3 linked regions of the Coturnix japonica genome follow. The main gene of each other region encodes a partner of the protein of the gene in region 3 in a complex. Links are inferred from orthologs where the notes say so. Each region holds a gene or a part of one and is shown on either strand. Other genes may lie near its edges.

The links.
Region 1: the proteins of WNK4 (region 3) and KLHL2 are in contact, whole or in part, in a crystal structure (PDB 4CHB), measured with the Homo sapiens proteins. The link is inferred for Coturnix japonica from reciprocal best matches to the Homo sapiens genes WNK4 and KLHL2. Residues at the interface, in NP_115763.2 of Homo sapiens: Glu557, Pro558, Glu559, Glu560, Pro561, Glu562, Ala563, Asp564, Gln565; in NP_009177.3 of Homo sapiens: Arg345, Phe361, Gly363, Ser364, Leu365, Arg366, Thr392, Phe408, Gly410, Ser411, Thr412, Gly413, Ser438, Ser439, Tyr455, Ser487, His504, Arg534, Tyr583.
Region 2: the proteins of WNK4 (region 3) and KLHL3 are in contact, whole or in part, in a crystal structure (PDB 4CH9), measured with the Homo sapiens proteins. The link is inferred for Coturnix japonica from reciprocal best matches to the Homo sapiens genes WNK4 and KLHL3. Residues at the interface, in NP_115763.2 of Homo sapiens: Glu557, Pro558, Glu559, Glu560, Pro561, Glu562, Ala563, Asp564, Gln565; in NP_059111.2 of Homo sapiens: Arg339, Phe355, Gly357, Ser358, Leu359, Arg360, Thr386, Phe402, Gly404, Gly407, Ser432, Tyr449, Gly451, Ser481, His498, Arg528, Tyr577.

What each region holds. Positions count from the first base shown.
Region 1 is NC_029519.1:20,948,396-20,957,843, forward strand, and holds part of KLHL2 (kelch-like protein 2), read left to right. Parts: intron 1-820; coding exon 821-937; intron 938-1,859; coding exon 1,860-2,009; intron 2,010-2,575; coding exon 2,576-2,693; intron 2,694-3,244; coding exon 3,245-3,442; intron 3,443-3,865; coding exon 3,866-3,967; intron 3,968-4,862; coding exon 4,863-4,991; intron 4,992-9,308; coding exon 9,309-9,448. UniProt on the Homo sapiens protein: Substrate-specific adapter of a BCR (BTB-CUL3-RBX1) E3 ubiquitin ligase complex that mediates the ubiquitination of target proteins, such as NPTXR, WNK1, WNK3 and WNK4, leading most often to their proteasomal degradation.
Region 2 is NC_029528.1:3,622,853-3,632,300, forward strand, and holds part of KLHL3 (kelch-like protein 3), read right to left. Parts: intron 7,733-9,448; coding exon 7,616-7,732; intron 5,160-7,615; coding exon 5,053-5,159; exon of another isoform or gene 5,021-5,052; intron 1,158-5,020; coding exon 1,036-1,157; intron 589-1,035; coding exon 580-588; intron 1-579. UniProt on the Homo sapiens protein: Substrate-specific adapter of a BCR (BTB-CUL3-RBX1) E3 ubiquitin ligase complex that acts as a regulator of ion transport in the distal nephron.
Region 3 is NC_029542.1:4,639,821-4,650,028, reverse strand, and holds the start of WNK4 (serine/threonine-protein kinase WNK4), read right to left. Parts: upstream 6,840-10,208; coding exon 6,417-6,839; intron 2,330-6,416; coding exon 2,157-2,329; intron 1,827-2,156; coding exon 1,606-1,826; intron 1,531-1,605; coding exon 1,373-1,530; intron 978-1,372; coding exon 889-977; intron 736-888; coding exon 516-735; intron 441-515; coding exon 116-440; intron 1-115. UniProt on the Homo sapiens protein: Serine/threonine-protein kinase component of the WNK4-SPAK/OSR1 kinase cascade, which acts as a key regulator of ion transport in the distal nephron and blood pressure.

The sequences.
Region 1 (9,448 bases), on a different chromosome or scaffold from region 3:
GATACAACCAACCTTGAATTTGAAGAAGTTTAGGTTCCGCTTTAGGTAGATCTTACCCTGCCGAAGCTTGTGGAACTGATTGAGTCTAGCAGATATCCTTGAACCTCAAACAATTTTTTGCATGTGCAGAGGCATCTGCTTCGAGTCTTTGAATCTAGTTGTGATCAGTTAAAAATCTGTTTTCCTTTTTCCAATGAGTATGTAGCTGTACTGGCATCTCTGCTAAAATGAACTTAAACTGCATTTTAAAGCGTGTTTCAGTACTGATTTGATGTCTCAGTTGTGTTTCATGTTAAAACATTTTTTTCATAATGGAAATACTCTCAATCTAAGAATACTCTGGTTAAACTGCAGTTAACAAAGTCAAGTTGCAGTTCCCATAATACTGTGAAGGTCCAGATGTTGTTGGTACATACAATGCTAATAAGGTTTTAATGCTCAAGTATCTAATCATCTGTTGTGAAATAGAGGAGAAACAAGATTTGGTGTTGCTGGTAAGACAGTGATGATAAGTCATTTGAGTGATGGTGTGGTATGTCAGTTCTCTAAGACAAGAAGAAAAATATGAGCACTGTGATATCTCTGCTACATTGTTTATACGGTAATACTGGTTTTTCAGTACTAATGAAATCACTGTGTGCATTTTGTCAGTGTAGCACAACTGCCCCTATATTGAATAAATATAGAAATAATTGGAGCTGTAACTGCTATGGTCTTTTCTTACATTAGAAAAGTAAAAGCTATTATTGGAGACAGACTGATACTTTTGTACTCACGGATTTGTAAGTCAAGGGACTTGCATTTGTTTGTTTCCTGGAAGGTATTTGAAGCGGTGATAGCATGGGTAAACCATGACAAAGATGTAAGGCAGGAGCTAATGGCACGCCTGATGGAGCATGTCCGGCTGCCTTTGCTTTCCCGGGAGTATTTAGTTCAGGTAAGCAAAAAAGAATATTAATTCTTTAGCACGTGAACAGTTGTTTATTTTTTTAATGTCAGATGGATAATTTTAAATTTAAACAACAGTATCACGTAATGCATTACTAATGGTAAAAAAACAAAAGAAACCACTACCACATGTGCACACGTGTATGCATGCGCACAGTCAAATAAGAGATTGCCACATAAAGGATGCCACGTATAATTAATTTACTTGCTTGGATGACTGCTTGTCATGGCATACTAATAATCTGAATGAGATAATTTTCTGAGATCAGGGTAGCTTTCATATGTAATACAACTTTGATACAACACTTCCTAAGAGGAGTTTAAGTTTCAGAATTATATCTGTTAAAATGTTTAGGGATCAGTGACAATGTTTCTTTACCTGGTTCATATATAAAATAAATATGTATGTTAATTTTGTGAGATCATGTTGGTCATGTTGACTATGTCAGGTCAGATATTTAACACTGAAAATACGGTATCACCGTTAACATTAATAGGTAAAGTAGTAGGGTGGTAGTATTTAGTTTTAGAAATTCTGTCTTTATTATATGAATTTCTTCCACTTCGTTGTTGCAGGCTGCTTTAAATTCTTTTCTCTCCTCCAGTCTACCTTTAAGCATTTGTATTTGAAAAGCCACGAAATGTCTGGTTGTGAGCAGTCACTTGCTATTGCCAAATGCTTTTTCTTCCACTTACTAATTAAGAGAATCTACATCTTCCGATTTCTTCTCGATCGCTGCATATTGCCAACAATTACATATGTTAGTGCCTAAATGGTTAAACTATTAGCTAAAAAATTAAGGTAATCTGTATTTTTTTCTGTGATAGAGGCTTTATTACACCTCAGAGTGTGATTTGTGTTTTACTTCCTTAACGTGCTCAGATCTTGTTAAACCTCTATTAATAAACAGAGAGTTGAAGAGGAAATACTGGTTAAGAACAGCAGTGCTTGTAAGGATTACCTCATTGAAGCTATGAAGTATCATTTGCTGCCAACTGAGCAACGAGCGCTGATGAAAAGCACTCGAACGAAACTGAGAACACCTGCTAGCCTTCCAAAAGTAAGACCCTAATTTTTCCAATGCACTTATTTCTTCAAATTTCATTTTAACAAATATGATGACAGCATTAGTATCACTTAGTCCAGTAAAATAATTCACATCAGAATAGATTGTCTCAAAAAATATCAGAAGAGGTTAGCTTTACAATCCATATAACCTGTGAAACAAGTTTTGTTGTGCTCTTAGCAACTGTAAGAGTGGAGTAGAAGATTCCTTTCAGCAGGTTTAGCACTTTTACCTCAAAGGAACCAAATAAGGCTGTTCTGTGATGGATGTTCACAGTACTGTTGAATGTCACAGCTACTAAATTATCCTACCTGCAGTCCAAGTATGATGTGGAGACACAGCAGAATCTGCCTCGTTCATGGGAGCTTTTAATTCTTATTGGTTCCTGCTTTTGTACCTCAGATATTTTTTTCTAGACAGAGCTAATAATTGTGTTTTTTGAAAAATGAGTAATGCCTACTGCAAGGCCCAAATTACTTTTTTAGAGGATCACTCTTTGGTTTTTAAAAACAAGTGCACTCATATTTACAAATAATTAACAAATGTTATCTCCTTTTCAGTTAATGATGGTAGTTGGAGGGCAGGCACCAAAGGCCATTCGCAGTGTTGAGTGCTATGATTTTAAAGAAGAACGCTGGCATCAGGTGGCTGAGTTGCCTTCCAGAAGATGTAGAGCAGGTAAATAATGTCCAATATCTTATGGCATTGGTTAATGCTTCAAACTTCTTGTCTACATAAAGCTTCCTACACTTGTTCGATCAGTCATTAAAATAGTTATTTGAGAAGGGCTAAGTCTAGTCTTCAGCATCATCCTTATAATGTGAATGACGCACTTGCTTATCTAGACACATACAAGTTTGATAATTTGAATGTAATTTGTATTTCGGCTCATAATGAGATTAAACTACTTCAACTGCCAGCAATACAGAGGATAAATATATTAAAATACGAATACATTATAGTAATTAGTAATTCTATTACTAACATACCTTAGTAGTATTATGTTAGATGAAGAATGTAAAGAAATGTCCACCTGATACCAAGAAGATGAAAATGTGATCTTAAAGTATTTGAGATATCTAAGGAAGAAGTAATTCAGCAAGCATCACTTTCAGGAATGTGAAACACGAATAACAAAAAGTATCACAACTTCTAGTACTTAGATTGAAGGAAGGGTGGCTCTATGACACTGCCTTTGTAATGACAACTTTCCCATTTTCCTGCTCTAGGAATGGTGTACATGGGAGGCATGGTTTATGCTGTTGGTGGTTTCAATGGCTCATTAAGAGTTCGCACAGTAGATTCCTATGATCCAGTGAAGGACCAGTGGACAAGTGTTGCTAATATGCAAGACAGAAGAAGCACACTGGGCGCAGCTGTATTAAATGGACTTCTCTATGCTGTGGGAGGATTTGATGGGAGTACAGGTATATTTGCCTTTACATTCTGTTGATAAGTTTTCTTTACTCTTGATGCAACGGTATCAAATATTTTGTATCTCTTACCTGTGATGAAAGGAATGGTGAGGATAGCCTAGAACCTTGTTGTTTGAGCATGCTTTTTAGTTGTCACATCCTTCTACTCAGTACTGAGCTGTGGGCTGTTCTCTTTAATAGATTCTTTAATAGCTACTACTGATGAGCATGTGTACACGGGAGAAAACATTTTCTCTTTATTTAAAGAGAATGTGGTGACTGTATTTGGCTATTTAAAGTATACCAATTATCCCTTTTGCATAGTAGTTAAGTTTAAAATTTATTTGATTTTACAGGTAGGAAGAATCTTCTGGAAGGTGTAAGGTATGTTGCTTCTAGATTTGTAGAGAACATAATGTTTTATTGTTTTCATAGGCTTATCATCAGTTGAAGTTTACAACTTAAAGACTAATGAGTGGTTTCATGTAGCTCCAATGAACACAAGAAGAAGTAGTGTTGGAGTGGGTGTTGTTGGAGGTAAGTTTACAAGTAACATTAGAAATGAAGAGGAGAAATGCAATCATTTACCTTATTGTCTTTTTTCACCTGCTTCAGATTTTGGTTTTTGCACAACCCTGTCATTTAAATGGTGTGAACAAAACACAGTCTTTCTACTTTGTTTTGGCAAGCTTTTAGTATAGGTGTTGTAATGTTTTTTTCAGTTTCAGCTGTGTATCAGATGTGCCTAAGGCCAACCAGCAGGAAATGTGCTAGCCAAGTATGCTCTGTATTATGCACGTCAGCAAAGATAAAGAGCCTGTTTACTGAACCTATGTCCAGAAATTGGTCTTCAGTGATGTAACTTTGTGCTGTTGGCTTTGTTATCTGTGGCTGATGTGTTCAAGGGCAACTTGGTAGCAAATAGCTTGGTCGTTGCTTGTGCAATGCAGACCACAGCTAGTTTGTGCGTCCTGAAACAGTTTCAGGCACTTCTTTATTTTAGCTGCATAGGAGCCACTGTTTCTTATCTAGAAAACTGAGACTATTCAAGTAATTTTCATCTGAATTTTTTTGATGTTCCTAGAAAGCCTTGAAGTGAGCGAGCAATGTTAGATGCACCTGAATTAGTTTGCCTTTGAACAGTTCTTAATTAAAAACAGAGAAAAGTGCCTTTATATTTCAGCTAGGCAATTCACAATCTTTTGACTTGCGCTGTTCTTGTTAGATACAAAAGCTGCCTTTTACCTCCTAGAAATGACAAGAACCACAGTGTATTATCATGAACTACGGACAAAAATAGAAACTTGCAGTAACCAGTTGATACAAGTACTGGGTAGCAGCTAACTCAGAACAGTGACATCCCCTCCACATGTTTAACAGTATAGTCCATGTGCATTAGAAATGTACAGATTTTTCTTGATTACCTTTATAGGTAAACTGTATGCAGTTGGTGGCTATGATGGGGCATCACGTCAGTGCCTTAGTTCAGTTGAATGCTATGATGCCAATACAAATGAGTGGAGCTACGTTGCAGAAATGAGCACTAGAAGGAGTGGAGCAGGTGAGTGAACAAAAATCAATGATCATAGTAAAACCGAAGCAGATTTGTGGTTTTAAATTTTACTGGAAATATAAAAGGTAAGCTGAAGTCTGAGTGTAATGAAAAATATTAGTTTTAGATGGCAGACTTATCTCAGGTTATAAATACAGAAGTGTCTTGTAGAGTAAAATTTGGTCTGCTTAAATATTTTCCTTTGCTTTTTCATACTTTTCATGCTCTACCTATAGTTTCTGAATTTTACAATGGACTACGCATGGTTATTACAGTCATTGTAGTATTAGCTAAATAGTGAATTATCAAAATTTAGACGCCCAGGATGAGAAATGTCATTTCCTCAAAAACCATCTCTTTGCCAGCATTTGGCTGATTTATCTAATAGCATTTTCAGATGCACTTTTTATGTGAACCATAAACTAGATTTCCACTTCTTTTTGGAGTATTTGTTCTTCATTATGGTTTACTGCAGGAAATTCTGTCCTTGTTTGTTCTTAAGTTTGTATTACTGATTTCATCTTTCTACTTCCATTTATGTACCCTTCGTTTCATCTTCAGTAATTCTTCTCACCACCTGATGTTTAAACCCTTTAGATATGTACAATTACTACATTATCCTTCCTTATAGTTTATCCAAGGTAAATCCATTTATTTCTTTAGAATCCTAAAAGTACTTATTTTTTTTCATGGATTTTTTTTTTTTTTCCCTTTGGGATTCTGAATATATCTATTTCCCTTCAGAGACATCAAAAGTGCCTGTGGTATTCTGTTCTTGCTTAATGAAATGATGTTTCCAGAGCTCCACACTGACTTTAGCATTTTCATTATCTATAATGGACTCAACTCTCATTTACTGTTTGCTGTCCTCTATTTGTCTTTTGGTATTTCAGGTTTTTTCAACTTGCTGAAGTTGTTTTATTTCTCTAGATGCATCCAACATGAACTTTTTCAAGTCAAATCGCACAGTATTATTTTTCTACATTTATATTTTCTCTTAGGTCACTTTTTTGTCAAGTACTCAACGGTGCTTTTTAGCAACACCTTTCAAATATCAAATATCTACCTGTGATTGTGCTAACCTGCTTCATAATTGGAAGAGATGTTGCTACAAATAAAATAGATGGCCTTGCAGTCTGCTCTGTAGATGACTGATAGTTGTCACAACTTTTCATCTTGCCTTCCATTATTCTTTATTAATATTGAGTAGTTTTTAATCTGTGTAATGATGTTTAAAGTCAATCCAAATTATTTCAGTAGGCATTATATAAAAGTATTAAAATCAATACTGAAATTAAGCTACTTAGTTTGTGATATTTCCTTTAATGGTTTTACAAAACTACCAAGTAGACAGGTCCACTATTGCCAAAAATAACATTTTTGTTGTTTTTAATTGAAAGCTATCACGTTAATGAAATAAATCTGATATGGTACATCTTAATAAAAGCAGTAGTTTTCTTGTGAGACTTCTAGTTACTTTGGTTGTATACCATGAAAATAAATCCCGGATTAAAGCTTGGCCAGAGCTGCAGTAAGGCAGCTGTCTCATACTGGCAAGTTTTGAGGAAGATGTTTACATAAAACAGCCAAATTACTTGAATGATCACGAAGACAAATTGTGTTGGTGGGCTGCTAAAAAGGTTCATTTTGCAGTCTTTGAGCAATGCCCTTTTATCTAAGTTTAAAAAATATAATAATTAAATGGGAAAAAAACCCTTACAACCTGTTTTTGCAAACTGTCATTGTGCCTGCAGCCTATTTATATACTGGATATTTTCAGGTGATTTTTTTTGTTTGTTTGTTTGTTTTTAATTTTTTTTCTTCTACAAGCCTAAAATTTAGTGCCTTAAATGCAACAGCTATAAGGATCTTTCTGCCCTGCCCCTCTCCTCCTGTTCCTTGCCTTAGAATTCAGGACCTTGTTTACATACCTGTGCCGCTTTTTACCTTATCTTCTGTTTAAAAAAAGAAATAGAGAGGAATAAGGTGAATCTAGTCAGTAATTTTAGGTTCACGTAATTGAGGAAAATAATCCAACATTCTTTGGTGCCACTCGTAAATGCATGGAAAATTGTATTTATGCTTGGGGAGGAGTGGGTGGTAATGTGGAAAAATCGTGACTGTTGATTGAGCTCATCTGTCAGCCAGATATCTCAAACCACTATATCTGCTTCAACTGGTGGTCAGTCCTAGTGTTTTTAGGTACTTGCTAAAAAGAATTTTGTTCCTGTATTAAATCTATGGATCTCTGTTCATCTCGAGGAACTTTAGCCCATCTCTTCTGTTCCTACTGCTTCATCTTCATTCAAAAGCAACTTCAGAGGTTAACCCTCAGTTAATCTTCTCTAGTACCAACTGCATCTCAGTTGATCAAGTGGGGACAAATCTGTTTCCGGCAACATATTGGGATGAGGAACTTCAGATTCAGATATAGGCCGTTTGGGAGGGATGAGAGAGGTAAGACAGGGTCCTGAAAAATGGGCAGGAAAGAAAAATAACAGGAGAACTCTGAAGACGGCAACAAGAAGATACAGACGGAAGGAGCAAGAAATAAGGTAGGACTTGGAAATGGGGTGTGGGGTTAAGGGAAAATGAAGGGCCAAGGAGAAATGAACGACATTTTCAAAAAGAAAATGAATTGCCAAATAAAAAATGGCAATATGGCAGAGGAAAACTATATATGCTATATAGGCAGGTCAGAAACTGGAGAGAAAACTCAGGTGGGGAAGAAAAATATCAATGAAGCACATTCTTTTTAGTTATTTGCTTGATCTATGTCACGTTGCACATTTAAACTAAAAATCTTAGCCATCCTAGCTCTATCATGTTTAACATTACCAAAGATGAATGTTGTATTATCCTGTCTAATAAAGTGAGATCAGAGTGGGAGAAAGAAAAGCTGTCACTTTGTACTGTGACGTGATAGCTAGAAATAATAGCAATCAAGGAGGAATTAAATTAACAGGGATGGGTACAGGCAAATGTCAGTAGTGAATGTCACTGACAGAGCACTAGATAGCATGATTTATAAATCAGTGTCATATTAAGACCTACTTTTCAGATTTGCGATACTATTTAACTCTTCCATGTTTCCTTCCCCTTTTCCTTTAGTTATTGAAAGCTGTTGTTGTTTTCTATATGAGAATTGTTTCCGCAGGATTATTTTCTCTTCCCCTCATAGTATAGGAATGGCCCATACTCACAATCTTAGTGATATATTTTTCAAAGATGTTTTGGCTGGTTTTCAAGGTCTCAGAACATTTTTTTTTCTTAAGCCACATTTTTTTTTTTTTGGTCTGAAAAACTTCATATTTGCCATTTCCTTTCCTTTTTAATACATGTTTTAAGCTGTGCCCTTTTTGTGGAACTCTTTAATAACTATCTTGGCAAATTTGTATCATGCTATTTAAACTTTACAATCTCAAATATAACACGTAATAAGTTTCCCGGTGTACTTTCATAGTAATGATTTTTAATTATCTTTATGGTCCATCATTTGCAAGTTTTAATGCCAAAAAATTGCACTTCTGAAACCCAATATGTTTGGGTTATAACAGTGCATTATAAAGTGAGGCATAAACTAACAGGCCTCCCTTTTTGTTTCCTCTGATACCATCTTTTCTGTACGTGCAGTCTAACTAGCAAGTAGGCCTAGACTAGCTACTTCATCCCAAGCTTATAGATTGGTAAAATGTTGTAAAGGGGATGCTAGGATTAAAGGAGATCCAAAAAATACTTCTGGATAATTCGTTAGCTAAAGCTTGGCTCGAGGAAGTTTTGTGTTCTCCTCCAGATCTGCAGGAAGAAGCTACTCACTGTAATTGTTTACTTTTGTTTCATACATGTTTATAAGGTGGTATCGTAGCACTTCAGTGGAAGCATTCCTGTTGTTTAATGTCTGTCCATTCAGCTTTACTGTACTGCATAGTATTTATATTCTAAAAATTCAGTTCTGCTTTATCATTTTATCAGATTTCCTTTATGTTGACTGAGCATACTGCATTATTTACTATCATTTCTAATTAGTCCTAAACTCCAGCAGTCCTCCTATTTCTGCTCATCATCCTTTCATCCAAAGTTTTTTAAACGTTATGTTGCAGAACACCTCTGGTTTCTGTATGCTGCAATATGGATGGGCATGCAAGACATTTTATCAGTGTCTTGCATTAGTTTACTGTCTCTTGCTTTATGTATCCTGACCTAAATGTCTTCTGAAATAATTCCTAACATTGGATGAATGATTTGTTTTAGCAGATCTTTTTTTGTTTTCTTGGTATCAGTCAAATTACGCTGTAGTTAATTTTGAGTATTTTCATGTGTTCACAGGTGTTGGTGTGTTAAACAATTTACTGTATGCGGTAGGTGGTCATGATGGGCCTTTGGTAAGAAAAAGCGTGGAAGTGTTCAATCCCGTCACCTGTACATGGAAGCAGGTTGCAGATATGAACATGTGCAGAAGAAACGCA
Region 2 (9,448 bases), on a different chromosome or scaffold from region 3:
TATGTGGTATCTCAGATCTCTACAAGCTCAACTACACACTGCAATGAAGGAGGGGATCTGCAACAGGTTTAAGCATTGACTTCCTTGGTTTAACAGTACTTGTTAGATTCACGCAGGAAGAGCCACATGCTACAGCACAGCAGGGGCCTGGAGCAGACGAACATGTCCCATCCACAGCAGTAACTTGCGTTCAAGCAGTAATGGGTTTCTAACTAGTCTAGCCTTGCTATCTTAATTAGGTCAACAGAAGCGTGGCATTTCTCCTCTCCCTCTCCAGTGACAATGACTGCTGATATCCCATCCCATGCTCAGATCACAAGCAGGAAGACACCAGGCTCCAACTGTCACTTGCAAACAAAAATGAGGAATGAGGAACAAGCAACAAGCTCCCAGCAACCCCTCCAGACATCAGCAGCTAAGTGCACAGCCCTTTTCTTCTCATAAATACTAGCACAAAGAAAAAGCTTTACCAGTAGCCACAGCCATGTGACACAGACAACAAAACACTCTTCCTCAGCATCCTGCTTTGTCTGTAGGCTGCCTTTCAATTACTCCTTCCACTTCCAGAATAATATTTACCTCAAAGAGCTGCAAGACAGAATGCACACAAAGAAGGGAAGAATGCCCTCATTTTAACAATATATTCCACTCAAAGCTCTGCCAAACAATTCAAACTCCCCAGAAGAACTTAAAAACTAACAGCCAGATTCCTCTGCCATGACCTTAAGCCACATTTGACTCGCTGCTTGTTTGAGTGTATTTTGACCTTTGACAGACTGACCCACAGGGCAGCACAGCTTCTTGGAAGGCAAATGCCTAAGCTCATTACAAGAGCTTGATACAAAAGCTAAATGCAATAAGACTTAAGTGCAGGCAAATCAGCAAACTGCCTCAAGACTAAACAAGGCTGGAAAGAGCTCTTTTCAAGTTCAACCTTTTACTTTCCGCAGCCTGAAGAGATCACTCATCCCCAAAGGCCTTTGAGGTGCCAGCTTCTGACTTGGGTTTCCAGGGGAGAGGCTGAAGCAGACTCACCTGCACGTTCTCTTCCGTGACCTCTATCTCAGCTGTGTAGATGTAATCAATCAGCTTCCTCAGTGTCTGCCCATCCACGTCTTTTATCTCGATCTTCTTGGCTTTGCTTTCAGACATGTCTCCTGAAATGTATTTTAAAAGGACAGTCAGTTTGCTGTGCAGGAGCTCTTCTCAGGCCATTGTTCCCCCCCACCTCCAGCACATCCTGCTGGTACCTAATGACTGCCCTGACCCTTTTCCTGACCATCTAAAGATGAAGACTGAGATTCTGAGAAGCCTCTTAATGCCACCTAAAGAACATCTCAACATTAGAAGACACTACACAAGATAAAACTCATCAATAAGAACAAAGAGGTTGATGTTTTGCAGGAAAACAACCTGCCAAATTCAGCTGTATTTAAACATCTATGGGGACTGAAAAAGCAGCGCGGCCCTCTGCTGTGTCTCATCACAGAGACAGGATCAAAGAGACTTTGGACAAGCCTTAGCAGGGCTCATTTTATTCAACTATTTATAATAAATACATGTATAAAGGTAGATAAGTAAAGCTGCATCAGCTACGTTCAGGTGCTTTGTGGCATGCTGCACAAAATAAAGGTAGGGTAGTGTTGCCCTCCTTGATGAATAACCTGAAACCTGCTGAAGGAAACAAGAGTACATCCAGTGTGCACAGAGTGTGCTGTAGGAAGGAGAGTGGACCCCCTGGGTCCTTCCAGCCTTCATGCACAGAGTGACATCACCCAGCCCAGGCTTGGCCAGCAGGATCTCCAAGAAGCACAGAACAGAAAGAGCAAGCTCCAAAGCAAAAAGGAAACAATAAACGAAAAACTAAATCTAAACAAAACAGAGCTTGAATAAATGTTAATTCTTAAACCAGAGCATGAATAATCACTACGCTAAGAAATGTGGTGACTCAATACTGCTGTGGGATTAAGAGGAAAAATAGTTTCTGCAGCCTAAGTGAGAAGTAATTACAGCCTACAGCTCCATACGGAGCACAGGACGTGTCCAGGCACACTGAGTGCACAGCACACAGCATGGAGCAGGGTGCTAACAGGGGGCTGAGCCTGAGCAAAGCCCAGGTCCTGGACATTAAACCTTTGGGTCTTCACTTATACCAACGAGGAGGCAGATAACAGGAGCTGGGTCAGACCATAAGCATGAGAAGGGCCAACAACAACCCAAGGGAAACACGGGCTGAAATAATATTTGCTCCAACTTCAATTTTTAAAACTAATTGATAACAGTTTTATTAAGAGAAGTCCATGAATACAAATATACAAAGGGATACGAGTCGGGCTTTGTAATTGGTGAAATAAACCTCTCAGCCCCAAAACTTCTCCCCACCCTGTGAAATAAATAATTATATTTATATATAGTATATATTATTTTTATATTTTATAGATTTATATATATATATAAATCTCTCCAGAGAAGAGAGGGCTCAGCTCAGCCCAGGTAGAGCTGGAGCTGCCTGGAAGGACCCAGTCAAAATCCCACAAGTGAGGGGCAAAGCAGAGCTGCATTGACAGTGTCCATTGGGACCAGTGGGCAGGAGAGGGGCTGGGACACTCTCCTCTAGGATTGATGCAGAAATAGCTCAGAGGGACTGATCTGATAACATTGGTTGTCTTTGTGCACTCACGTGACACAGCCAACAAAAATAAAGGCTGTGTGGGTTTCTACACCCACCAGCAAGCTGCCAGCCCTGCATGCTAACATCTTCTAGTGGCTCTGCTCTGATACCATCCCACAGCCACAAAGAAAGTCACACTGTGTCCCAGGGCAGGGGCAGTGGGGCTGGGACCTGAGCCCTCCAGCCACATGTCCTAATGAAAACAATAAGACAAAGGCCCAAAACCTCAGCCCTTAAGTTCTTGGAAGAAGAGGAATGGCTTGGGTTGGATGGATGTGGGAGGGATGCCTCCTCCCACAGCAATGCTGAAATCCTCCCATGTTACTCATAGTAACAGCCCCACCTCCATAGTATCTGTAGTCCTTCTTGAGATGATTACCGTGGTTTTGTTTTCCCATACTGATGGAAATTATTGTCACCAATCACCCCCAGTTGTGGTGCCAACAAGGACCGTGCACCTGAAACACTCAAGAAAACCAATAAAGAATAGGAAGTGCTGGGTCTTGTGTCTCCTTCAAGCAGTGGAGAATGCAAGTGGAACAAGTGCCTGTTTATTGCAGGACTTCCCAAGGCTTTCGTCAAGAGACAGGCCTAACCACAGGTCACTAGATGGCAAAGGAATGATCATCAGAAGGCCATCCATTAGTCCAAGATCAGGCCAGTTACAGGGAGCAACACACATGCATTCAATATCAGACACTGGGGTTGAGCTGTGGTTCATTTCCCATTGCTCAAGGCTTTATCCTGACCAGAGGATCCACCCCATTCCCCAAGAAGTGTTTCCTCCAGCAGGGACAGTGTGCCCAAGCTGCTCGCACCCCTGCATCCTGCATCCATTCTGCAAGCATGCACGCACAGAGGTGCAGCTGCCAAGTCACACTGCTGATGTGCAATACATAGCTGAAAAATAAATCCCAACAAATAGCCAAGCTGAGACTTTAAACATTTGGCTTTTAGAAACTGAACCAACACAGCTTTGCAAGAAGACCCAGTCCATAGAAATTTGGGATCAGAACTGAATGGACAACTGGTCCTTGCCCGATCCACTGCCTGCAGGGCCGTGTTGGGGCCCCACGGCTGCCACCCATCCCAGGGCACACTGAGCAGCCGCGTGACTGCGGGGCCTGATTACTGGTTAACTTGCTGCATGAGGGATTACACTTCTGGAGAATTCCTACGTGGAAACATGAGCAGCCCCAGCCCTGCTCTGCACCACTGCATTCCTGTCAGGTGACCTCTAAGGATCAGAGGGTTCTCCAGTGATTTTTTTTTTACTTCTAAACCTTCCTGTCAGGAACCAGCATCACAAACACTCCCCTCCCCAAAGCACCCAGTGCCAAGGCTCCCCACAGAGCAGCAGTGCCATTTACCTTTGCACCCACACAGATAAAGCCACGTGGCAAACTTCACATCTTGTCTAACATTCAGACATTGGTTCACACTTAAGCTTCTTATGGAAGGGAAGGAAAGATGCACAAACAAGAGGCTTTTTCCCAAGAAATTCTGCATTTTGCTTCTAGTATGGCAAATAAATCAAAGCCTAACCTCAAGGTCTGTAAAAGCAAGAAGCACCCACAATGCCAAGCTGACACTGTTGGATCTCTCTGGAAAAGGCTCTCTACTCTTCAAGGCCATAGACCAAGGAGTACAAAGCACATGCAAACACCATAAAGAGCTGAAGCTCTGAGACCATGGCAACCATTCTCTGCAGCATACATTTACCTTGGTTATGTCAGTTCCTATCCTAGAAAGGAGGACAAGGAAAAGGAAAGGAAGCTAAGGTGCTCCTGACCATACTGACGTTACCAGAAGGACCTAAATAAGTTGGCTAATGCCTGCCTTGGGACCAACACAGCTCTCCTTGCTGTCCCACCCACTGACAGCCATGGCCTATAGGGATCAGGTGATTGGGGCCAGAATTCTGCCCCCTCCTTCCCTTCACATTGAGGTTGCATCTGCCATTACCAAAATACACGGGGCTGTAACAATGCACCCTGCAAGAAAACAAAGTAAAAACACAGAGCTACTAATGCACACTGGGATCCAGAGAACCACAGTGTTATTTTGGGCAGCAGCAACAAGTGCCATGGGAGATTAAACATCCGTGACCACGAATAAGCATCTGCAGGGCTGGGCCTCAAAACTACAACTTTTGTGCCAGCAGCTTCTTTGATGTGAACAGGGCACAGCACGTGTGCCTGATGTTAACAATGTGTGGTTTCACGACCCAAGCATTTGCTGAGGAATAAAAAACCACCCACAGCAAACCAAGCCCCACAGTAACCTTCCTGTGTGAGTGATATTCTGCATGCTCCCCCATAGCCTGATGCCGCCCCCAAGCCCATTTACCGTGCCCCAGTGCAGGGTCTGCTGCAGAGTACCTGTAAACATGGCACAAAAGTAAGGGCTGCAGGCTGCCAGGACCACGCGGTGCGCTTCCATCTCCACAGTTTCTGCCACAATCACTACATCACAGAGCAGTCGTTTGCTGGAAAAACACCAGAATAGACAAAGATTGTTTCAGAACTGGTAAGGAAAAAAAAACCCAAACACAACAAGTACATTTTATGCCTGAAGAAGCAAGCAGAAGTCCTACTGCTAGGAACAAGGCACTTGAGCCTTTAGGGGACAGCAGTCAGGCCTGCAGCTTACCCCTGGGCCTGAGAACTTCCCTACCCCATGACTTAGGTGGGATTAAGAGTCACAGGAATAAAACAACGGGTTCCAAACACAACCAAATAACTTCTATGCTCCCCACTGAATCACTGTATGGCTTTAGAAAAGCCACTTCATTAATCAGTGACCTTTCCTAGCAGCCCCACGTATGTCCTTTGAGGATTCATTAGTTAATGTTTGCACAAGGATTGGAGATGCAGACAGTGAGGAGTGCTCAGCCTCCCAATAAGTTGGTTTAAGATGTTTGAGCATACAAATGCAAAAATAAAGGCGTTCTTTTCAAATGTTAAGCCTGAAAAAAAAAAAAAAAATAGTTTAGTGCCTGCAAATCTAGATGGAGCCGTCTCATCAGAAATGCTTATCAAAATGCTGTGCTTTCTCCCGGGAAACTACACATCAAATAAATACATACAAAACTCCCCATGGTCTTGGCATGTCTCCTCCTCCTCCTACTCCATGGAAGAAGTAAACAAAATGATTTGTGAAATGGAGGGTTACTGATGGAAAACAGAATGAAAGTAGGAACTGACAATCTTTGTTCTACCTTCATCCTCCTTTGGAAGGGATGAGGGCAGTAATGGGAGCTCTTTGAATCGGCTCTTAAGGGAAGCTTCCGTTTCCTCCAACTTATGTAAAAGATGCCCCATTCAGTTCCTCTATGGACTATAGTTATTTAAAGTACCGCTCGTTAAAGTTAATTCAATTTACATTTGAAAGCTAAAAATTCCAAGTGAGCAATATATTGCAAATAGGCTAAAGGCTCAGCAAGATTCTTGGTGACCCTCAGCTTGGGACTGCTCCATCTCCACTCGGGATTTCTCCGTGCATTTGACCTAAGGCACAATTATTCAAGGTAGCTATTAACACTGACTGTCGACAGCTTAATGGATCACAAGTGTAATAGACATGAGAACTGTATATTCCAGAACAGCAGCAGGGGCTGAGGAGGAGGGTACCTAGAAAAAGAAAACATCAAATAGGTTCTTAAGGGCAGCTTTCTATTCTATCCTGTATGTTTTATCCCTTCACCATTACACAAGACCTAGCTGACTGCAGGCACTGAGAAACACTGTCAGTCTCCAGCTATTCCCACTGTGCTTCAATTAACAAAGGAATAATAGGAGCACAATAGATTTCTGAATATAGCCACACAAACCTCTATTTTCAGATCTTTTGCTTTCAGTACAAAGAGACGACTAGAAGGATGCCAATATTAAAAAACCATACTTTGCTTCATTTAACTGTTACAAGGGATGGACATCTCCATTTTCTGCTCCTTACGCAACTGAGAATCCCTATGAGACATCTGGAAGAAGACATTTCTCACCCTTCTCTGCACTGGAGAAAACAGACATTGGGAAACTACTAAATCCACAGAAGCGAGGTGCTACAGCAGCCTCTTTGGAGTACTCTGAGCATGCAGAAAGAGTAAAGGCTGTTATCTGCTTTCATCGTGCCATCTGGAGAGAGGGAGCACACAAATGTGTACGACACGTATTTTTTCACAGGACTTCTTTCAAAGCTTGTGACTGCTGGAATGGCAAACAACTCAGATGAATTTGCTGTTAGAAATACTCCCTGAGCCTCTGCCTGGTTCTTGGGGGAACAGCTGAAAACCAGCACAGGTTTAACTACTGCCATCACACCAGCAACTGCTTCGTAAGGACTGTGCTTGCTTACATTTCCTCAGCCCCCATTCTCCCTATGCCCACACAGCTGTTTAAAGACACCAGGGTGTTCCTTCTTAACTGACAATGGCATTTTTTTTAATTTCCACATAGAGACCTGAGCTGTTAGTGGGGCTTTTTTCCTACTTTGAAGTGCTCAGCCCAGATTGAGCAACAGCCCCAGTTCAACGGAATAAGAACAGTACATTCATAGTCCCTGGTCTGTAATTATGTGTAGGTGTCTTTCTGTCTGTAATATTCTGTTACTGGTTTTCAGACCATTAGCCCAGCTAAGAACATAGTTTACAGCTAAATTTGCTGTAAGTAATGGAAAATGCTACATGAATTATCATCACTACAGTGAAGGATATCACTCAAATAACTTCTTGAGCTGCTGTTGGCTTCCTTCTGACTGGAAGACAGGCAATGTGAGAACGGGCACAGCACCCCACCACAATGCAGCTATATTGTAGCTGCTTCTTTCCACTTGCTCATCAATACCCTCCATGCAACCATGAGAGTTCTCTATTTATTTTAAAGCCTTTCTGTTTCAATCAGCACCTTTAAATCAGAGAGGATGCCCATTAAGTCAGAAACGTACCTCCGCAATTCATTCATGACCTTGAATGCCTTTCTCATGTGTGAGGGGTTGACCGTCACTGTGCGCTGGTCCTTTTCATCTTCACCTGCCTCAGAGGATCGGGAACTCTGCTTAATGCTGGAAAGAGGAACAAAACAAGAGCACAGAGTTTGATTCTGCGACGCTTCAAAATTAACAGGTATCATAAAACTGCAGCACAGAGCATTATCCATGGAGTTGCTTGCACATTTGTTAGTCCAACCAGGATTGCCATATGAAGAGCGTCACAAAACGCAGCTACCTCTGCACTGATGTGGAAAGCCAAACAACCCAATCAGCAGGGAAGAAAAAGAAGTGCCAAACACTCGAGGACAAAGCCCAGTCTTACAGGCTGCAGTCCAGGAAAGCAGCGTAAGCTGAAATTCAAGCCAGAACATAATTGCCTGACTGAATCGGAATAGACTCCAGCGCTGGGAGTTGCAGGAGTTCCATGGATATAGTTTGTAGAGAAAGAGAAGTTTTACCTTTTCACTCTCATCTGAAAAACCAACGCATACAATACATCTTCTTCCATAGAGGCAAATAGAAAAGGACTATTGAAACTACCTGCAGATTTTCCAAGCATTAGCTCTGCAGCAGCCACGTTCCGTTTCCATTCTAGAAATAGGTCTATTTAGTGCCACTGAAATGTATAGAAAGAATTACTAAACTCGGCTTTCCCGGCAGAACTACAGGCTGTATAGGTAATGTAAAACCAGATGCACCCAGTTCTGTGCTGTGTTTAACCAGGCCAACAGGTGCCTAAGGCACATACGTGTCCTCATTACTTTGTTCTGAGTGTTGGCTCTTTGCACAGAATTGACATAAGGTCAATATCACCACCTCTATGATTCCAAAACGCACAAAATCACTCGGAGCTTAAGGTTCCCACCTGTAAAACAAAGCAGCATTTTAGTGTGAGATAACTGTTCCACTAAATCTACAGCTCATACCTCGAGCCTTCCAGCAGGCAAAAGCAAATAAAACAAGCTGAGCAAGGTCATCCTTGTTGAATATCAGCTCCAAGTGAATGGCTGACCCTGGGAGGTAACCCCATCACCACCACCCAGCAGCCTGGAGCCCTGCTCAGAGCTTTCCTTCCAAAGGACGGTCCCCATCAGCTTCAGGTTTCATACCCTTCTCCTTGTCGCCTTTCTTACTGTGCTTGTTTCAGGACAGAACAAGCTGAAGCTGGTTAAACCAACAGCTGCACATCCAGGCTGTACCACAGGCGGCCTCTGAAGAAGGGTATAAAGCCAGCAAAGAGGGTAGGGTCATTCCCCAGAACAGCCTACTGACCCCTGCCAATGCCTGTACATTATATGTATCTTCAAACACAGTAATTTTCTCCCTTACAAAACACAATTATTAACTATTTACAGCCCGCGATGTGTTCCCTTTACCAAACATGACATTCTTGTGGTCAGTAGCCCAGTACAGCCAGATGACAAGCCAGAAGGGAGGGCACCCCTTGTTAAACATTCAGCACTCACAGGGCTGGCAGCAGACAATGACACAGCCAGGTTTTGTGTCCTGAGGAAAGCAGTGAGCCTACAGCACACACAGCATCCAGCTCCCATCCAGCCCCACTGCAGCCAGGAGCCTCCAAGCACCACTGTGATGTGACCATGTTCAGCTGCACCTCCGTGCTACACTGATCAACACCCTCTGTTGAAACCTTTGGCCTAGTGAAGTTTGACCATAGCTCTAAAATCTCAGCCTTGCTTTTCAAACAGCCAAGCCTTCCCTTGTGCCATGCCAAGCAGGGCAAAGCAGGGATGTGAAAGCGTGAGCGGCTTCTCCAAGCTTTCAGTC
Region 3 (10,208 bases):
GGAGACCCTCTTCCCAGCTCTCAGCTCCCCTTTAGTGAACAGCCTTGGGGTGGGATGCATAGGTGTGGCTAGAGGAGCGGGAGAGCCCCATGCCCACTTCTCTGTGCCTACATACAGGTGGCCGAGGAGTAGCTCGTGTGCCGGTACACGAAGTGCTGATCAGCCTCAGGTTCCTCAGGCTCTGGTGGGAAGGTGCTGCTGAAAACAGAGTCCCTGGAGCCGGTGGTGGCTGGGGCAGGTGCAGGGACACCTGGTGCCAGTGGGGACTTGAGGTCCTCCAACAGCTTCAAGACACCCGGCGCCTGCCCCAGCTCAGCCTGTGGCAACACATCCTGAGCACGCTTCAGTTTCTCCCGCTTGCGCTTGATGGCGACCACACGGTCCCGCACCGCCTTCGCCACCAGCTTGTAGTCAGCCTCGCAGACAAAGCCCAGGACCACCTGCACAGGAGTGGAGCGGTATCAGCCCGCAGGGACCCCAACGGTGTCCCACCCCCTCCACCTCGCAGCACCCACCATTTCCTGGGCCACCTCCTCTGCCACATCCTTGTAGAGCTCGAAGAGAAACTCGATGGCATTGTTGTCCTTGTACTTGCCATGCAGCTTCTTTGTGTCATCCATCCGCAGCCACAGCTTGAGCCCTGACTTGATGCCATCATCTTCCTCAGCCAGCTCCACATGCACCCCCGTGTCCTCCTGGAAGAAGGAGTGCTCCAGCAGGTCCTGGATGGTGTATCTGGGGGAAAACGCTGCTCAGTGTGAGGACACAGCCCATTGCTCTGGATGGCAGCAAGGGACAGGGCAGAGGGACCATGTGTGGATGCACACAGGGTTGCAGACATTCAAGGCAGGGCTCTGCAGCACCGTGTCCTCTCCTGGTCTCTCCCACCTTTCATCCTTATCCATGCGAATGCAGCCCTCAATGATCTCCTTCAGCTCAGGTACCTTCACTTTGTAGAAGCTGCTGGGCTTCAGGCCCTGGGCAGAGGCAGACAGCACCCATCAGGAAGCTGCAGGGTGCCCTGGTGACCCTAAGACAGTGCCCTGTGGGGCCAGAACCTGCTCGGCAGCAGGATCCAGCACAGGGCTCCAGCCCAGAAGGCAGAAGCTGGCTGGGTCCAGCCGGGGCAGCCACGATGCCCTGGGGACAGAACAGCCAAGCAGCTCCGTTCCACCCTATGAGCGCACGGGGTGAGGCACATGGGCGTCCCTACCCTCTGCTGGCCCTGGCAAAGCTCATGGAGCTGAGCACCTTCTCAGCTCCCAGTCTAATTTTAGCTTCTTGCATAACCTGCTGAGTGGAATACTTCTGGAGCAGCGCGGTCCAGCAGCTCCCACCACACCACCCCTTCCTCCAGCCCTGAGGCACTCACTGAGGTGACCTTGCGATAGATCTGGGCAGCGTTCTGGCACTCTGAGTAGGGGTATTCCGAGGTGGCCATCTCCAGCATGCACATCCCAAAGGCATATACATCAACGGATTCATCATATTTCTCCTCATACATCTCGGGGGCCATGAACTCTGGGGTTCCTGGGAGCACACAGCATGGACAATGATGCGCCTGTCCCCACACACACCTCCACACCCCCCATGACCCCATCCCACCTATCACACTCTTGGCAAAGGAGGCACGTTTAAGCGTGGCCAGCCCCAGGTCCCCGATCTTGACAGAGCCGGTGGGGCCGGTGATGAAGATGTTGTCACACTTGAGGTCACGGTGGATGATGGGGGGTGAGCGAGTGTGTAGGAAGTGCAGCCCTTTGAGGATCTGGCGGCTCCAGCGCTGCAGCACTTTCAGCTTCATCTCCTTGAACCTCTTCAAGTAGCTGCGAGGGGGCAGGGCTGGCACCACAGCACCCCACGGACACTGACACAACCCCGTTCCCCACGCCTGACCATGATCCCACCACCACCATTGAGCTGCAAACAGCACGCAGCAGCCAGGGGCTCCCTGTACCCCCTCCCAGAGGCAGCACAGAAAATGCAGCTAAATCCAAGCCAAGATGCCAGTGCCAGGAGAGCAGTGGGAGCCAAGAGTGAGCGCTGCCCTGTGACACCCTGGGCCCCCCCAGCCCATGTGCTGGCTATCGCTCCACAGCAGAGCCCTCCCTCACCTCTTCTTCCCTGCACACTCTGATCCATCAGCCCCCACTCACGTCTTAAGAGTGCCAGACGTCATTAACTCAGTGACCAGCACAATGCAGATCTGCCCTTTGACGGATGACTTCCAGGAGTCGTAGAAGCGAACGATGTTGGGATGCTGCAGCCCCTTCAGCATCTCCACCTCCTCGCTGAAGCGCTGCCGCTCTGTCTTAGACAGCTTCCGTGTCTGCAGGGGCAGGAGGGAGTGAGGGGTACATGGGGCTGTGGAGCTGTCACATCCCACCCCCCTCCCTGCGCTCAGCCTCGTGCATGGCTCTGACGGAGCCACTTGCCTCATCAATCAGGCCAGGGAGGGATGGATCCCCCTGTGCTGAGCTGCGTGTGAAACCCACCCTGAGCCGGCTGCCCAGACCCATAGCCAATGCTCGGTGCCCAGCACCAGAATGGGCATTGCTAGCCCCACACTTCTAAGTGCTCAACCTGCTGTTCTGCCTCGTGCAGACCTGTCTGCCCCTGTCCTGGGCAGCTCCTGCCCTCCGCTGCTGCACAGCAGCTGCAGGCACCAGGCACCTTCATGGCAGGGAGCCGGCCTGCCTCAATGAGGCCTTTGTTGGGGAAAGCAGGCGTGGGAGGCTCCAGCCCAGGTTTTTCCATGTTCCTCCAGCTAGAGTTAATTAAAGTTGAAGCCAAAGAGAGCTGACACAGGCACTGAGCAGGGCTGCAGGGAGGATGCAGACCCTATAGGGCCCTCTACAGCAGAACATGGGGATGCAGAAGGAGCACGAACGTGCCCCACACCCCGTGCCCCAGCACAGCCCTGGTGCAATGACCTTTACTCTGCACAGAGCCAAAGGGACCAGGGAGCACAGAGCCCAGGAGCTGGCACAGAGTCCCAGGAGCCCAGGTGGCAGCAGTGCCAACAGCATTAGCGAGGTGCCCCCATTGCTGGGTGCTGCCTGTCCCAAGCACAGCTCTTTGGCTGCCAGCCGCCATCCAGCAGCTTTTGTAATATTTTCATTGCATCATAACTGGCCCCATGGCTGGGCTGGAGCTGCTCCATAATCCCCTCTCTTCCTTAATACATGCTCAGGGACCCAGCTCAGCCCAGAGGAGAACTTGAGCCTTGCTGCAGTGGATGAATGGGATCTTTCATAGCCAGAGAGGAAAACAGCGCCCCAAGGCCCCTGAGCCGCCCAGCACACACCCTGCCCCCCCAGCCCACCACCACCTACTGCAGAGCTTCAAGGAGCTCAGAGGTCTGGCTGCACCCCATGGAGCCACGGGGCAGCTGTGCAGGCTGCGGCCAGGGCTCAAGGACTGTCAATGTGGCTCCCTACATTCAGTGAAGGGGGACCAGGGTGGCATGTGGACGTGTCCCCCAGGGAGCCTGAAGCAAAGATAAAGGGAGCCCCACTCTTCCCTCAAGCCTGTGATGGATCATTCCAAAGATGGAGACAGGCACCTCAAGGGCTCTGCCCTGCCCTGCAGGGTGAGTGGTACCCAGCATGACCCCAGTCCCACTGGAGACACTCAGGCTGGGATCGCAGTGCAGGGCAGCACACAATGTACAGCTGGGGCTGCCAGCAGAGCTGTCTGCCTGGGACACAGTGTCTTTTCCTAGCAGACACCTTCTGAGGAGGAAGAGGAGAACGATGGGGATGGCAGCGCAGTGCTGGGGAAATAGTCCAGCTTCATCCTAGGGCCAGGAGATGGCTGCTAGTGTGCACAGCTGCAGAGCTGGAGCAGCGCCTGTGGCATCGTGTGCTGCTCACCTCAGCCAGAGGGTCCCAGCAGCATCAATCAGTGAAAGACTGCACTGTGCAGAGCTGAGAGTCACACCAGGAGGAGAAGCACCCAGGGCCATCTGTAGAGGTGCTCAGTGGGAATGGCACAGGCTCTGGGCACTCAGAGCCCTGAGGACACAGTCCCTGCAGCCACACAGGAATCCAAGAGCACCCAGTTCTTCTCCTAGTGGGTGCCTGCACCACCTGCTCCATTCCCAAACCTCCGACCCCCTTCAAGCATTCCCCTCTCAGCTCTCAGCCTCCCACCAGCACAGGATCCAGAGCAGATCTCTGGCAGCATGGCAGCACCCGCCCTATAGGGCTGCTCCTCCCCCCTCCAGAGGGGTCCCCACAGACAAACTACGCATGGGCAACTTATTTACAGCTCAATCCCACTCTGGGCTTCTGGTTTCCTCCCCACTTCCTCCTTTCCCCCAGCCCTCAGCACCTAACAGAAATAGTCTCAAATCTAAAGCTGGAAAGCACAACAGGTCATGGCAGGTCTGTGGGATGCAGGGACACACAGCACTGCACAGGGCTGCGGGCAGTGGGGACAAAGAGGCCCCCAAGGGGTCCTACAGGAAGGCAGAGAAAAGGCTTTGGGCAACCTGGTGGTGAGACAGGGCCAGGACAAGAGCCAGGATTTGAGACTGGGAGGCTGGATGAGGCTCCTGGGACCGGAACTGCATTCAGGGCTGAGGTTAGGTGTTCATTTATATTTTAAAGGTAATAAAAGGAGAACTGTGAAAGACACGGGACAAAGCTATTTTTAAAGGGGCAGAACCACAACCATTTTTATTTGCGGTTCCAAATCCTGTATTTGTGTCACAGTGTCTGATTCTTTGCATGATTGCTGGAAAAAACAAGCTTTAACAAGTTTGCTTGTGTGCTGCCAGACCCTCACGGGATGTGCACTTGGGGACAAGAAGCACTGAATAAAGAGCAGAGGGGACTGTTTTGGGGCTGCCTCTGCTCCACCCAGAGGGTGCTGCTCTAATCCCCAGGCACCTGAATGTAACTGGCACACGGTGCCAGCCCAAGCTGCAGGACAAGTGCTGGGGACTGCAGCCCAACTCCCACAGACACCCTGGTTCGGTACGCTGGGTACGCAAGGGGATGCAGCCCAGCACAGTGCACATGAGTACCAAGCTGTGCTGTCAGCTCCAGGATTTGCTATGGCTGCAGTTGGGGCACAGTGGGGCACACGGGCATGGCCCCACAGCAGGAACGTGAGGCAGCCAGGTGGGATGTGCTGGGCATGAGCGGCTCCTCTATTAGCCACATTCAGCAGAGATGCTGCTCTCACCAGCACTGAGCTGTGGCTTCCTGTGCTGGTGAGGGCACAGTCAGGAGCTCAGGGATCTTAGAAGGGAGACATGGGCATAGCAAAAGGGGAGCACTGAGCGGCTCTGGGGAATCTGAAGCAGTTGCCCCATCTCACAATACTGAGGCCTAGAACCACATCCTCCTCTCACAGGCTGTAGTCACCCCTCCAAAAGTCACACACCATTATCTAAAGGATCTCTCCTTGCATTACTGGGTTGCAGCCATCCCATGCGGACGCGCCAAGGCTTTAGGAACAAGACAACAAACTTGCAAGACATGTTTTTCTCTGTAAACAAGGACTTGGACCTTCCAGCTGCAGCAGCCACCCCCGGGGCAGGAATCTGTTGGAGACTTTGGACTTCACCAAAGCCCCTCCCTGGGGGCTGCAAGGAGAAATCTGGAGCCCCACTGCCAAGATCTGCTACTGCAGCCTCACTGCCACAGCCAGAACTGCTCCCAGCACACGCAGGAGGGGACTGCTGTGCTCAGCTGCCCAGCATCACATCCTGCTGCTGGGGAGCAGTGGAGGAGAAGATGGGGAAGCCACAGGTTCAGATGCTGTTAGCGGGGAGCACCTGGAAGCGTCATAGAAACCCATGTGGGTGCCCACAGGCACCACTTCAACCAAGGACAAGCAGCTGACGTGCAGCAAGGACGTTCTGTACCCTGCACCTTTTCGCACCCAGCCCCCGGCTACCTGCAGCACTTGCTCCAGAGCCTTCCCAGAGCTAACGAAGTGCACCTCCGAGCCAACTCCGGCACTGAGACGGCTCCCCTACCCTGTCTGCGCTTCCAAATGACGATCTGTGAGCTGATGAGCACAGAAAGTAGCGGGGTGCAGCCCAGCCCGGATTTTCCCCCACTGCCCCAGAGCGGGGCTGGAGCCGCGGGCAGGGGCAGCAGGCGCCCCATGAGCGCTCCGTAGCTCAGGCAGCGACACAGCAACGGGAAAACAACGTGCGACGGTGGGAGGGACGACGAGCGCGGGGCTGAGCGCGCAGCCGAACCCCGGGGCACCGGCAGCGCACGGAGGGTCCAAACCCCCCGCACGTTCCCAGCCCCACCGCTGCAGCGGAGAGCGCTGGGTGCGCTGCGGGGGGACCGAGGCTCCCTGCCGAGCAGCCCCTGCCTGAGTGCCCCTGTTCCTGGGCTGCGTCACCCCGAGCTGTGCCGTGCCGTAAGGTGAGCACCCTGCCCTCGTACCTGCAGCTCGCACCACGCCACCTCCACTGTTGTCTCCGTGTCCAGCCCCTTATAGACGGTTTTGAAGGAGCCCCTTCCAATCTCGATGTCAAACTTCAGGAAGCGGCCGTCGGGAGAAGTGGCCACGGCGCGCGTCTCCACCTCCTCGCTCTCCGTCTCCTCCGGCTCCCGGTGAGACGCGGCGTCCGACGGCGGCGGTGACCCCGCGCTCGGCCCCGGGTAGCCCAGCAGCTCCAGCTCCACCGAACTCCGCCGGTTGAAGCGGGAGGAAGCGCGGCGGGAGTCTCGTCCCGATGGCCTCCGGTTACGGTTACGGTGCGGTGCTCTACCGGGGAGCCCCGGCTCCACCGGGGAGCCGCCGCCTGCCCGCTCCGCCTCGGGCTGGGACATGGTTCCAGCGGCGACGGGCTCGACCGTCAGCATCAGCTCCCGCAGCTTCGCACCCCGCAAACAGAAGCTCCCCGAGCCCCGACACGGGCCCCGGCACCGGCGTGGCCACGCCCAGCGGCACCCGCCCCTCCCCGGCGCGGCCACCGCCCCCCAGTCCCCGTTGCACCGGGGTGGGCATTGGCAACGGGAAGGGCACCGGAGCGAGCGCTGTTGTAGGTGCGGTGCCAAGCATCGGGGCGAGCGCTGGGATGGGCGCGGGATACGGGCTGCGCACCGAGAGGCATCAGGTCCTGGGGCGGGCACCGGGCACCAGAATGGAGACTGGAGCAAGCACCGGGACGGGCACCGGGCACCGCCAGCACCAGGACTTCCCCCATACAGGGCCCACATCGACCCCGAGCCCCTGTGCCTGGGCAGGGCTGTAGTGATCCCACTCGTTCATTCCAGCAGCGATGGGTCCGTGCAGGGCCAGGTGATGTGCGGCCATGTTGGGCTCCGGGGCAGTGTTTGCTTCAGCCGCTCTCAGAGCTGTAGCTGAGAAGTTTCAGGGCAGTGCCGGTGCCTGAAGCTGCACGTCACTGTCCTGGGCACTGCCGTGCTGTCAGATCCTGCCCTCCCGGGCAGCTGCTGCTCTCAGGGTTCAGTACCAGGTGAACTCCTGAAATGAGGGTCACACAAATACTAAGATGTGAAGGTATCCTTCAGCCTCACGCTCACCAGGAGCCTGGACAAGAGCTTGTTGTCTCCACAGTGTAAATGATGAGGTTGTTCTACCCTGTAAAGCTGTTTACACAAAATACAGAGCAATCGATTCTAGCGTTAATTTCTTTTCCCTAAGGTCAGATTGTTTCTACTCAGCGGTACAGGAAACATTAAGGGTTGAAATGTTAACACAGCCGTGTTCTTTGCGCAGATTTAAAGTGCCAACGCTGTGATGCAGAATCCAGCTGCTCTCACCCACAGCTACACGAATCCCCATCCAGCTGGATGGATGAAGAAGCACGTGTTGAGTGTTGTTGCCACAGAAGTCCTGGGCAGGCTGCACAGCCCCCTGCACACAGGCAGGACTCTGTACCTTCATGCTCCCCTAGAAAGAGGACTGGGGAAACCTCCAGGAAGGGAAAACCCAGTGACAGTGCTGAGCTGTGCCCTGTTCCCAGCCAACAGTGCAGCCCTGAAGCACCCCCAGCCCCAGGCTCTGCCAGGTCACTGGGACATGGACAAGGCTGGCAGGCAGCCTGGGCTCTTCAGCGAGGGTACAACACGCAGAGCCAGGCAGGGCTCTTGGTCTCTTTTCCAGCAGGCTCGTGTCCCATTATCACGTTTTCATCATGAAATGAGATGCCTGGAAATGACCCAGAGGAGCAGGGAATGAGAGCCCCAGATGAAGCCCCTGCAGAGAAGAAATTGGGCACGAAGCTGCCTTGATGCTGTACCCCCACACCTCTGCAGTGAGCACTGGAGATATTTCCTCTTCCCTGCAGCTACAGAATCACCGCGGGCTGAGCAGTAGCAGGTGACCCTGCAAAGAGATGCAAGTGCCCCCCAACACATCCCAGGACATCATGCTGCAGCTGGGTCGGGGCTGAAAGCAGGAGTTTCCCATGCAGTCAGTGCTTTCACTGTGCTCAGCAAACACACGCAGTCCTGCATGTTATCAGGGTGACATTTCTCCTGGCTCCCAGTGTTGGTGCCAGCCCTGTGCTTTGAGCAGCCGCTGCAATCAGGCCATTCAGCATTTCCACACGCATTTGGCTGCTGGGAAAAGAGCAGGGAACTACAGTCTCTCTGCTCAGGATTAGATCACTCATCAAAGAACAACTCTTCTGTTCTGAGCCCAAAACTCAGGGTGGGATAACAGAGGGGCTGGGGCCAAACATAGGGGTACCTGTGTGCCTGCAGGGCTGTAGCGAGAGCTGAGCAGCCCCCCAGGAGGACCTGAGGAGTGTGAAACATCCCCTCCAGAGGTGCTGCAGGGAACGTTCCCTGTTGACTGCAACACCCCACACCTGCGGAGCTCAGTGTGCCCCATACTCTACAGCACAGAGCTGTGGGAGGAGACAGCACTGCAACCTCAGCAGCAGCTGCAGCCCCAGGCAGATAACTGCTGAGGATTTCCTTAGCCCAGAGTCACAGACATGACCTGCATGCACATTAATCCCAACTCATACATTTATCAAACTGAAGCAACTCTTGATCCTAACTAGCTGCATGAAATTAAATATCCTCTCAACTTCCCCCCCCACCCCAAACAGCAGAACCCAAATGTGCACAGTGCGATAGCACCTTATCTCAGCACCAGCCCCCCGTGCTCCACCTTGCCCCAGCCCATGAGCCCTAATCAGCACATCCAGACGTTGGCTGTGACCTCAAAGCCCAGAAATGGGGACCCACAATCCACTGAAGTCCCGTGGGTTGGCTGCTGCTACTCCCCCACCCTGGGATGCAGCATTTGCTGCACAAGGCTCTGGGCAGCATTGCTCATGGAGCTCAGGGCACTCTGCAGCAGTGCAGACCACAACACCCTGCACGAGCAGCTCACAGGGATGGCAGCACAGTGGGCACAGGGCAGGCTGCCTGAGCCGATATCTGTTGTGTGTGGCAACAAACACATCTTCTGTTCTTTGCCTTGTTCTGGCATTATGTACAGCCCTAATATCATGCATGTGGAACATGGGGAGGAGCTGCCCTGGGTACAGAGAAAGTTATAGTTGGAGGTCATCCCGCTGCCTCTTTAGAGTTTAATTACATCTCCTACCCAGCACCCCAGGGCTTCCAATCCGGTGCAGCTCTCATGTAAGCACCTCTGGGCAATGCAATGCTCAGATGTCCCAATCTTGTGATTACATCACTAAGTGCTATAAAGCAGCACATAAAGATAAGGAAGACCGTTTCAGTATAAAGTCTTTGTTTTTATCATAAGCTACAGCTTGTCATTGTCAGCACTGTATAAATTGTATAAACAGCAAACAAGCAGACAGCTCATGCAGCCCCACAGCCTTCCTAGGGGCAGCTGGGTAACCCCCCCAGCATAAAGCAGTGTTTCCATGCTCGTCATCTCTGCTGCAACCTGGCCTTAGTGCACAGCCCCAGCAAACGAGCAGAGAACATAAGCAGCTGCCTGTCCCAGGGTGGGACAAGGGGGAAGCACACTCTTCCTCCTCACCTCACTAAGTGATTCAGGAAACTGAAAAAGAGCCGTGACTAACTGCCAGGAGAGCTTCAGAAAGAAAAAGGCTTGTTTTAGACTTATCTAATGTCACATCAGGCATTTCCTAAGAAGGGAGTAAATTCAATTAAGAAACCAGACTCACTCAAGGACAGTGAGGTTACATTCAGCAAATGAGGCTCGGAACAATGCTGAGAGGTCAGGACTGCCAGTACACAGTGCAAGAAACGCAA